2 linked regions of the Saccharomyces cerevisiae S288C genome follow. Changing the gene in region 2 together with the main gene of any one other region gives a genetic interaction. Each region holds a gene or a part of one and is shown on either strand. Other genes may lie near its edges.

Region 1 (3,675 bases), on a different chromosome or scaffold from region 2:
GTCCAATTCCAAGAACACACAGTGCTCTTTCGGAGGTCATATAAGCCACTACCCATTCTATTTTTTGTTTAGTCTTTGGGTCAATGTTCTCTGGTGATTTTCCAAAGGTAACAAGATTTGTCATCCAGCCTGCTATTCTTGTGTTCCATGTTTGAAAGCACTGCTGATAGCTTGCAATGACATCATATTGGCCATTTTGTATAGGAGGATCTCTAAATGGATCTTTCAATTCGTGCGTGTTTTCACTGGAAAAGGACGTATACGAATCTTGCCTGCTCAGCATGTAATGGTCTCTCATTCCGCAAAGGCGCCTCCAGAGCTTGATTTCATTCCATGCAACGGGCGCCATCGCACCAACAGCGAAGCATATCAATACGGTAATGCACACTACGGTGGCTATTTTCAGGACATGTCCCAAGATGGAATAAAAGGCCAAAATTTCTGATTGATTGGATGAGCAAATCCCAGTACTGTTGTCAAGGGACACGGGAGGTACGTACAAAACGGAGGTATCTCCGATTATATTGCTGGCATTCACGGCCTTGATATTCTTCCGAACTTCATTGAAGGGAACCGAGATCAGGTTCTTGGTTGTATTCTTAACCTGGGCAAAGTCCGGCGTCTTTGCCGATAACTCTTCAAGCTTATCGTTGATTGAGGAAGGAATGTATAAATTGTGAAGCGCAGATATGGTTAAGTTGACGCTTTTGATTGACGACGTCATGTTACTGTCATCGTCATCACCTGTGAAAAAATTCTCTACTTTGGATGCGGCCTTGATCACTTTATTGATTATTTTGGAGATGTCATTCAAGCCCGTATCCAATTCATTAGCCACACTTGAAACTGTATCATTGACTAAGCTAATCAGTTTTTCTGTAATGTTAGTAGCAACGTCCACGGTACCATCAACGGCACTAACAATCAAACAGGCATAAGTGCCCAAATACAGGTCAATGGCAAAGTTTACCAGCCCCTCGCTCGCATATACTATAAGTGATAACGTCTCTAGCGTAGCTTTAACAGTCTCCTCCATACCCTTCTCGATAAGATAATTCCCCATGATACCTAAATAGTGCGGCGTGTTGTCTGTCATCTTGGAGTATAGTGAATCAATACTGTAACAATTGGACAAAATATACGTTTCCGAGACTTCTATCGCATGTTGTATGGATTTGGAGAAAAACAGAAGCTTCAGCATTGCTAGCAGCAAAACCAAAGTATACTTATTTAGCCATATTTGAGAGAGCCTGTCACCCAATTGCAAATAGCATTTAAAACCGCTCATATCATCAACGTTCACAAATTCGAAAGGGAATCATCCTAACCAAATATTTCGGGATTATCTTAAGGACTTATGTTGGTCACATTCGTCATATATATATACCTCTTGCCAGCAACAGGCCAGTTATAAGTTAAAATTAATATGTGACGCACTTCTGAAACAGTATTGAAACAGTATTGAAACATATGTATTACCCGGACTCTGCATGCTCTGTCGTTCATTTTATTTTCACCTAAACGAAAATCCCGTGAAAAAAATTTATATCGCCTTTCGCTCTTTTGTATGTAGGCATCATCGGAAATTTGCATTGTGTGAAGGTTGTGCATATAAAGGGTTTTGCATAACGGACGTTTTTCACGTACTCCGTCTGAGCATCAAGTGAGGCTTGAGTTTACGTTTGTTTTTAATAATCAGTTTTCATTCTACTATTTTCTTGCGCAATTGCTTATCAGATAGACCTTGTAAACAGCATAGGAGTAAAGACAAATTCGGTGTAGAGAATAAAAGGATGGTATCAGCTTTGAATCCCAGAACTACAGAGTTTGAATTTGGTGGGCTGATTGGTGCCTTAGGCATCAGCATAGGGCTGCCTGTTTTCACTATCATCTTGAATCAAATGATAAGGCCCGATTATTTTATTAAGGGATTTTTCCAGAATTTCGATATAGTTGAGCTTTGGAACGGTATCAAGCCATTGCGCTACTATCTGGGCAATCGTGAATTATGGACTGTCTATTGCCTGTGGTATGGAATACTGGCAGTTTTGGACGTCATTTTACCGGGCAGAGTCATGAAGGGTGTTCAGTTAAGGGATGGTTCGAAGCTTTCGTATAAGATCAATGGAATTGCCATGTCTACAACTTTGGTCTTAGTTTTGGCTATCAGATGGAAATTGACTGATGGACAATTGCCTGAATTGCAATATCTGTATGAAAATCACGTTAGTTTATGCATAATATCTATTTTGTTTTCGTTCTTTTTGGCGACGTACTGCTATGTTGCCAGCTTCATACCATTGATCTTCAAGAAAAATGGTAATGGCAAAAGGGAAAAGATCTTAGCACTAGGTGGAAATTCAGGAAACATCATTTACGATTGGTTTATTGGTAGAGAACTGAACCCTCGTCTCGGCCCATTAGATATCAAGATGTTTTCAGAGTTGAGACCCGGCATGTTGTTATGGTTACTGATCAATCTTTCCTGTCTGCATCACCATTACCTGAAGACTGGTAAAATCAACGATGCATTGGTCTTGGTTAATTTCTTGCAAGGATTTTACATTTTCGATGGAGTACTAAACGAGGAAGGTGTATTAACCATGATGGATATCACTACAGATGGGTTTGGTTTCATGCTAGCGTTTGGTGACTTAAGTTTAGTTCCATTCACCTACTCATTACAAGCGCGTTACTTGAGTGTTTCCCCTGTGGAATTGGGATGGGTGAAAGTTGTCGGTATATTAGCCATAATGTTTTTGGGTTTCCACATCTTCCACTCGGCAAATAAGCAAAAATCTGAGTTTAGACAAGGTAAATTAGAAAATCTAAAAAGTATTCAGACAAAGCGTGGTACAAAGTTATTATGTGACGGGTGGTGGGCTAAATCACAGCATATCAATTACTTTGGCGATTGGCTGATTTCATTAAGTTGGTGTTTGGCCACCTGGTTCCAAACTCCCTTGACATATTACTACTCGTTGTACTTCGCCACGTTGTTATTACACCGTCAACAACGTGATGAGCACAAGTGCCGCCTGAAATATGGCGAAAATTGGGAAGAATACGAAAGAAAAGTTCCTTACAAGATCATTCCATATGTTTATTAAGTTTTTCTACCACTGCTATTTTCTTCATTATCTATGTATGTGTGTATACATGTTATGTATTGGGTGAGTATGAGGAAGAAGAAGAATAACAATTGAAAACGCTGGAAAAATTAAAAGGGGCGGTGGTCTATCTATGCAACGCTCCCCTTTTCGTTACATGAACACATCAAACTTGTATATCCTTTGAGTGTTCTTTAATCAAGTCATCTTGGTATTTTAGTAGCGTTTCCACTACTTTAGGGACAAATTCAGACCTAACCAATCCATCAAAAGCATCAAACCCTTGCGACAAAATCGGAATATCAGACTCGTCATGCATAAACTCTGGAATTTCTAGTTTCCCGTCCGCAAGTATGCCGTCATCATCCTCGTCGTCCTTATTAGTATCCAAATTTGTCACTTTGACGTTCATCGACAACTGTAAGTCAAAGTAGCAAATCGGCTTGCCCTTCCTTTGAGATACGTTGGAGTCACCGGTGATGCTACTCACCTGGGTTAACTCAATTTTGCTCTTCCCATCAGAGGAAACAGTGGACAAACTCGTTAATTTACCGTTCAAGTAGTC
Region 2 (5,428 bases):
TCGCCCCCATCTTGTGTGCTGGTATCACCGTCTACAAGGCTTTGAAGTCTGCTAACTTGATGGCCGGTCACTGGGTTGCTATCTCCGGTGCTGCTGGTGGTCTAGGTTCTTTGGCTGTTCAATACGCCAAGGCTATGGGTTACAGAGTCTTGGGTATTGACGGTGGTGAAGGTAAGGAAGAATTATTCAGATCCATCGGTGGTGAAGTCTTCATTGACTTCACTAAGGAAAAGGACATTGTCGGTGCTGTTCTAAAGGCCACTGACGGTGGTGCTCACGGTGTCATCAACGTTTCCGTTTCCGAAGCCGCTATTGAAGCTTCTACCAGATACGTTAGAGCTAACGGTACCACCGTTTTGGTCGGTATGCCAGCTGGTGCCAAGTGTTGTTCTGATGTCTTCAACCAAGTCGTCAAGTCCATCTCTATTGTTGGTTCTTACGTCGGTAACAGAGCTGACACCAGAGAAGCTTTGGACTTCTTCGCCAGAGGTTTGGTCAAGTCTCCAATCAAGGTTGTCGGCTTGTCTACCTTGCCAGAAATTTACGAAAAGATGGAAAAGGGTCAAATCGTTGGTAGATACGTTGTTGACACTTCTAAATAAGCGAATTTCTTATGATTTATGATTTTTATTATTAAATAAGTTATAAAAAAAATAAGTGTATACAAATTTTAAAGTGACTCTTAGGTTTTAAAACGAAAATTCTTATTCTTGAGTAACTCTTTCCTGTAGGTCAGGTTGCTTTCTCAGGTATAGCATGAGGTCGCTCTTATTGACCACACCTCTACCGGCATGCCGAGCAAATGCCTGCAAATCGCTCCCCATTTCACCCAATTGTAGATATGCTAACTCCAGCAATGAGTTGATGAATCTCGGTGTGTATTTTATGTCCTCAGAGGACAACACCTGTTGTAATCGTTCTTCCACACGGATCCACAGCCTAGCCTTCAGTTGGGCTCTATCTTCATCGTCATTCATTGCATCTACTAGCCCCTTACCTGAGCTTCAAGACGTTATATCGCTTTTATGTATCATGATCTTATCTTGAGATATGAATACATAAATATATTTACTCAAGTGTATACGTGCATGCTTTTTTTACGGCAGCATTTTTTTTTCAACTCTGATCGCCCCTTTACTGCTCCCTCCGCCCAAATTCCATTGCAGTTCAAATGTATACTGAAAAAAACCCCATTGCTATTGTTAAACAGTGAACTCTCTTTTTGCCCAATAATAACATTATAACAAGTAACTACCAGCACCATAACACCGTGTCCTATCCTGGTATTAATTACTACTTGAAGAACGACTACATCGCTTTTTGCAACTACAATTAGAACGCTCCGCCCCTTCCTTTTGACGTCGTATAAGTGTAGTTGGATTGCAATTGCATAGATACAGGAATTAGTTCAAGCCATTCCTAACGAGGAAACGATACATTCTAGCAAATCTACGCTTTTCTGACTTTAGAAGAGCAAGCCAATAAAAAGCCGGAGAAAATAGAAAGGTAATAATGAATCAGTTGACAGTGAGTTATGGCCTAATTTCCCCAGATTACTGCACTTCCCAAGATGCGCACATCTTACCGATAACAAAGATTCTGTACCCGGATATACCTGGTAAAAACTATTTTCTTACTTCAGGAAGGGATGGTTCCATAATTTTGCACAAGAACACACAGCTCTCGAACGAGCCTGAGACTGCTGCAACTACCATAAAAAACGATGCGATAAGAATGCAAGTTCATAGCGATTGGGCAAGCGATCTAATACATGTTAATATGAAAAATTCAGACCCATCTGCAGGGGACACATTCATATCAGTAAGTCACGATTTTTCGATAGTATTAATTAGTGTGAATGCGCAGTTAACTACCTGGGATAAGAAAATAATCGGTGACCACGACGATTATATCAAGTGCATAGTGCCCATACATTATGAAATGTCAAATGACTATGAATTGGAAGAACAAGAGGGTGGTCCTGATAATGTACACGATGGAATAAATAATGGCATTGTTGTTGATGAACAGAACAACTTTCTTTTTGTGACAGGTGGTCTAGATAGAAAAATCAAACTTTGGTGCCTGAGCAGCGGGCCAGAAAAAATGGCTACGCTACTACACACATTTGATAATGCACAATCAAACGACACAGGCTCAATATACTCCATGAGTCCCATCATCCCAAAATACAGTTTTGATGACAATCAAACGTCTCGTCCCTTTGATTTTGTTGCCGGAGACTGTAATGGTGATTTGATTTTTTATTCGTGTAAATATCGTAAGGAGGTGATAAGAATTCAAAACGCCCACAGAACAAATATAAAAGTAGTAAGAACTCTTGATGACTCCACACGACTAATCAGTACCAGCTCAGATGGTGTAATAAATGTATGGGACTTGAATTGTAGGCATGATCAGACTACTGGTGCCCTTCAGCTTCCCAAAAAAATTGGATCTTGGTCCTGGGATTCTTCCATATGGTGTGTCCAAGGAACGAGCCTTGATAAGTTGTATTTTGGTGACTCTCAGGGCAATGTTATGAGAGCAAACTTATCCAGTTATGAAGATGCTAAACTTACAAGAATTTTCAAGCCTGATCATCACCACCATCATCATCATCACCATGAACACGAAGAGCAAAATATATCAACTACAGATGCGAAAGTAAAAAAATATGGTGGTATCCTTGATATTGCCCTTTTACCTAATGAAAAATTGTTGTTTTCTTTTTGTACTGACTCAAATCTAAACGTGCTCGATTTAACTAATAACCATTTCAGTGTCAACGAAGGTGGGTTCGCACTGACCAGAAGCTCACTGCTAACCAACAGGAGGCATGTAATAACGGAAAACACTAAAGGCCAAATGCAGAGATGGGATATCGTTTCATGTGAGCTTTTGAATACTTTTGATTCATCAGAAGGTTCATTTGATGATATTGTAATGAAATACACCTCAAAGGAAATTCTATCTCATTGGTGTACTGTTTCCGTTAAGGTCGGTATGCTGTTCGTAAAAATAAACCCAAAATTTCTGAAAACTGAAGTTTATGGATCCGCGCTAAAGGATTATCAGGTTGTGAACAATATTGAAATTAACTCAGATGAGAGATATAATTTGGGTAAAATTGTTATTAATTCGCTTTTCAATGAGTTCATATCATATGAAGTCCAAAAGGATAAACTTTTAAGGAAGAAAATTTTTAGTTTGAAGAAAAAAGACTTAACCAATTCATTAACCTTGGATACGGGATATAACAGTGAATCAAAAAAGAATAATAAAGATAAAAAGAGAAAATCAACCTTCAAAATTAGTTCAACTCTGTCCATTGGAAATACCAACAGCAGTGGAACTCCACCAAATTCGGCACCTGCAACCCCGGTAATGGCAGAGACTATAGTATTAGAAGAACAACCATTGTTGCAGTCAGCTTCTGATAAAGCAATAGATGACTCTTTAGAACTCGTGCAACCATTGCCTGCATCCAAAAAGCCATATTTTAGAACGCAGAGCTCTGGCTCCTTGTTAAGTAGAAAGTTCAAATCATTTAGGTCTACTTCTGGTCGTGCCACAACAGGGTTAAACACTCCAGAGGAGCCCAAAGGAATTCTGCCAGATACTCCGCACGTTATTAATGATGACTCGGCCTTCCCTCAAGCTATCAATACAACTCAGCAGTCTAAGGATGCAACTCCAGAATCTATGTTATGGAATCATCCTTTCAAGCTAGAGCAAAAACTATCCGCTATTTCATCACAAGATTTACCGAGTAACAACACTCATAACAAACTAAGATCATCTGAAAACTCAAGGGCGAATTCCACGTCAACCTTGGAAGGCAACGAAAAGAAGAAGCCTGAGTTCATGCCCGATTTACTGGAGCAAATTCAAGAGTCTTACAAGCAACAATATATGAATACTTCTTCTCTAAAATACCTGACGAAGAGGCTTCCAGTCACCAAGATAATCAAGGCTAGTTCATGTCCAATTATTAGAGTAAAATCTGCCACGTTAGTTTTGGTCCATCTTTGGAAGGAAGGCTCATGTGGTGGCAGGGTATTATTTTCCACCCTATTACCGCCATCTCATGTCGATAATGAAACCGTCAGCGGCGGCAAAGAAAATTCCAAACCGCCAGATGATGAAGAAGTAGACCTTCAAGCTGTAGATGATGACAAATTAGGAAAATATGATCTTATTGATGGCGAGTTAGGAAGCAGACTCAACAGAAGGCAAATTTTTGAGCAATTGGAGGAAAATTTGCCCTACTGGTTTGCAAAAGCTTTATTTAGAGATATTAAGACGGTGGAAGAGCAACCAAAGTTGAACTTCTTAATCATGCCATGGTCTTCTGTTGGTGGGAGTGAGGCAGCTGGCAATGAAAACAAGAAGAAGTTTATTAGTGCATCAGATACCACAGAATCTTCTGGCAACGATAGTAGCGATAGCAGCCTTGGAAATGGTAATGAAGCCGTTTCCCCATCAACACAGCAACAGTTCCATAATATGCTAAAGTTTGGCCGTCCGAAGACCAGCGAGCAGGAGTTAAACCCCACAGATTTACCGAGAATCTCTGAGGCGAATGTCAAGCTGGTTGCGCCTGGAATGATTAGGGTGAAAAAAATTAAACTTTACGTCGCTGACAGATTTGAAACGAAAACTCCTGAAATGAAAGCAAAAATGGAACCTAGTCTTTGGTTGGATCTACTATGTAGGGGCCAAGTGCTTGATAACGATATGACTTTAAATACCGTTAGAACACTTTACTGGAAATCTCAGGGTGACATAGTTCTAGAATACAGAAGAAAAGTACATAATTCACCGCTAGTTCATGAGGTCAACGGGAATGAGGGGAAATGATAATGTTTATTTAAATTATATTTTGGGGTCTGAATTTGGAGTTTTTAAGCGTAAATATATAGTAACAATACCAACAATAATACTAATAATACTATAATAGTAGTTGCAGTAACAATGACAAGATAAAGAATATTCTTCTGAAATGTCTAAAGAACGAAGAAAAAAGCAAGTACTCATTGGAATGCTATGTGTAACAACTCATACATACTCTAGAGCTTTATAATAATTACATAGACATTTTTATAATATTATTTATTTATCAAATTTTATATTGAATAGGTACCATCAAGTTATGCACACATTCTTCATTAAAATACAGTCTGTAAATAATTGTGAATATGGGCGACCTGAATGATGTTCTTATTATCTCAAATATTTCTAATTTTTTTTAATCATTTTTGTTTCTTTAAGAGCAATTAATTTACAGAGCGGGGAACAGTGGCCAATTTTTTGAGCTAAAGAACAGCATAACAACAAAACAACAGAAAAAAAACACAGCGAGTCTAGTGCAAGTACGTCGGCAAAGTAAAACACAAAGGAGATGAAATTGCACGGCTTTTTATTT

Evidence for each region. Genes that interact genetically often act in the same process or in processes that back each other up.
Region 1: mutations in DUF1 (region 2) and ERG24 together harm fitness more than expected from each alone (negative genetic interaction), as found in Saccharomyces cerevisiae (one large-scale study listed by BioGRID).

What each region holds. Positions count from the first base shown.
Region 1 is NC_001146.8:108,530-112,204, reverse strand, and holds ERG24 (delta(14)-sterol reductase), read left to right. Parts: upstream 1-1,793; coding exon 1,794-3,110; downstream 3,111-3,675. Other genes in the region: pheromone-regulated protein PRM1, read right to left, coding at 1-1,288; HCH1 (Hch1p), read right to left, coding at 3,277-3,675. UniProt on the Saccharomyces cerevisiae protein: Delta(14)-sterol reductase; part of the third module of ergosterol biosynthesis pathway that includes the late steps of the pathway. ERG24 reduces the C14=C15 double bond of 4,4-dimethyl-cholesta-8,14,24-trienol to produce 4,4-dimethyl-cholesta-8,24-dienol.
Region 2 is NC_001147.6:154,722-160,149, reverse strand, and holds DUF1 (Duf1p), read left to right. Parts: upstream 1-1,512; coding exon 1,513-4,863; downstream 4,864-5,428. Other genes in the region: alcohol dehydrogenase ADH1, read left to right, coding at 1-602; MHF1 (Mhf1p), read right to left, coding at 705-977; protein disulfide isomerase MPD2, read left to right, coding at 5,405-5,428. UniProt on the Saccharomyces cerevisiae protein: Ubiquitin-binding protein involved in the resistance to phenanthroline, sanguinarine, nordihydroguaiaretic acid (NDGA), isopropyl (N-3-chloro-phenyl)-carbamate (IPCPC) and guanosine 5'-O-(2-thiodiphosphate).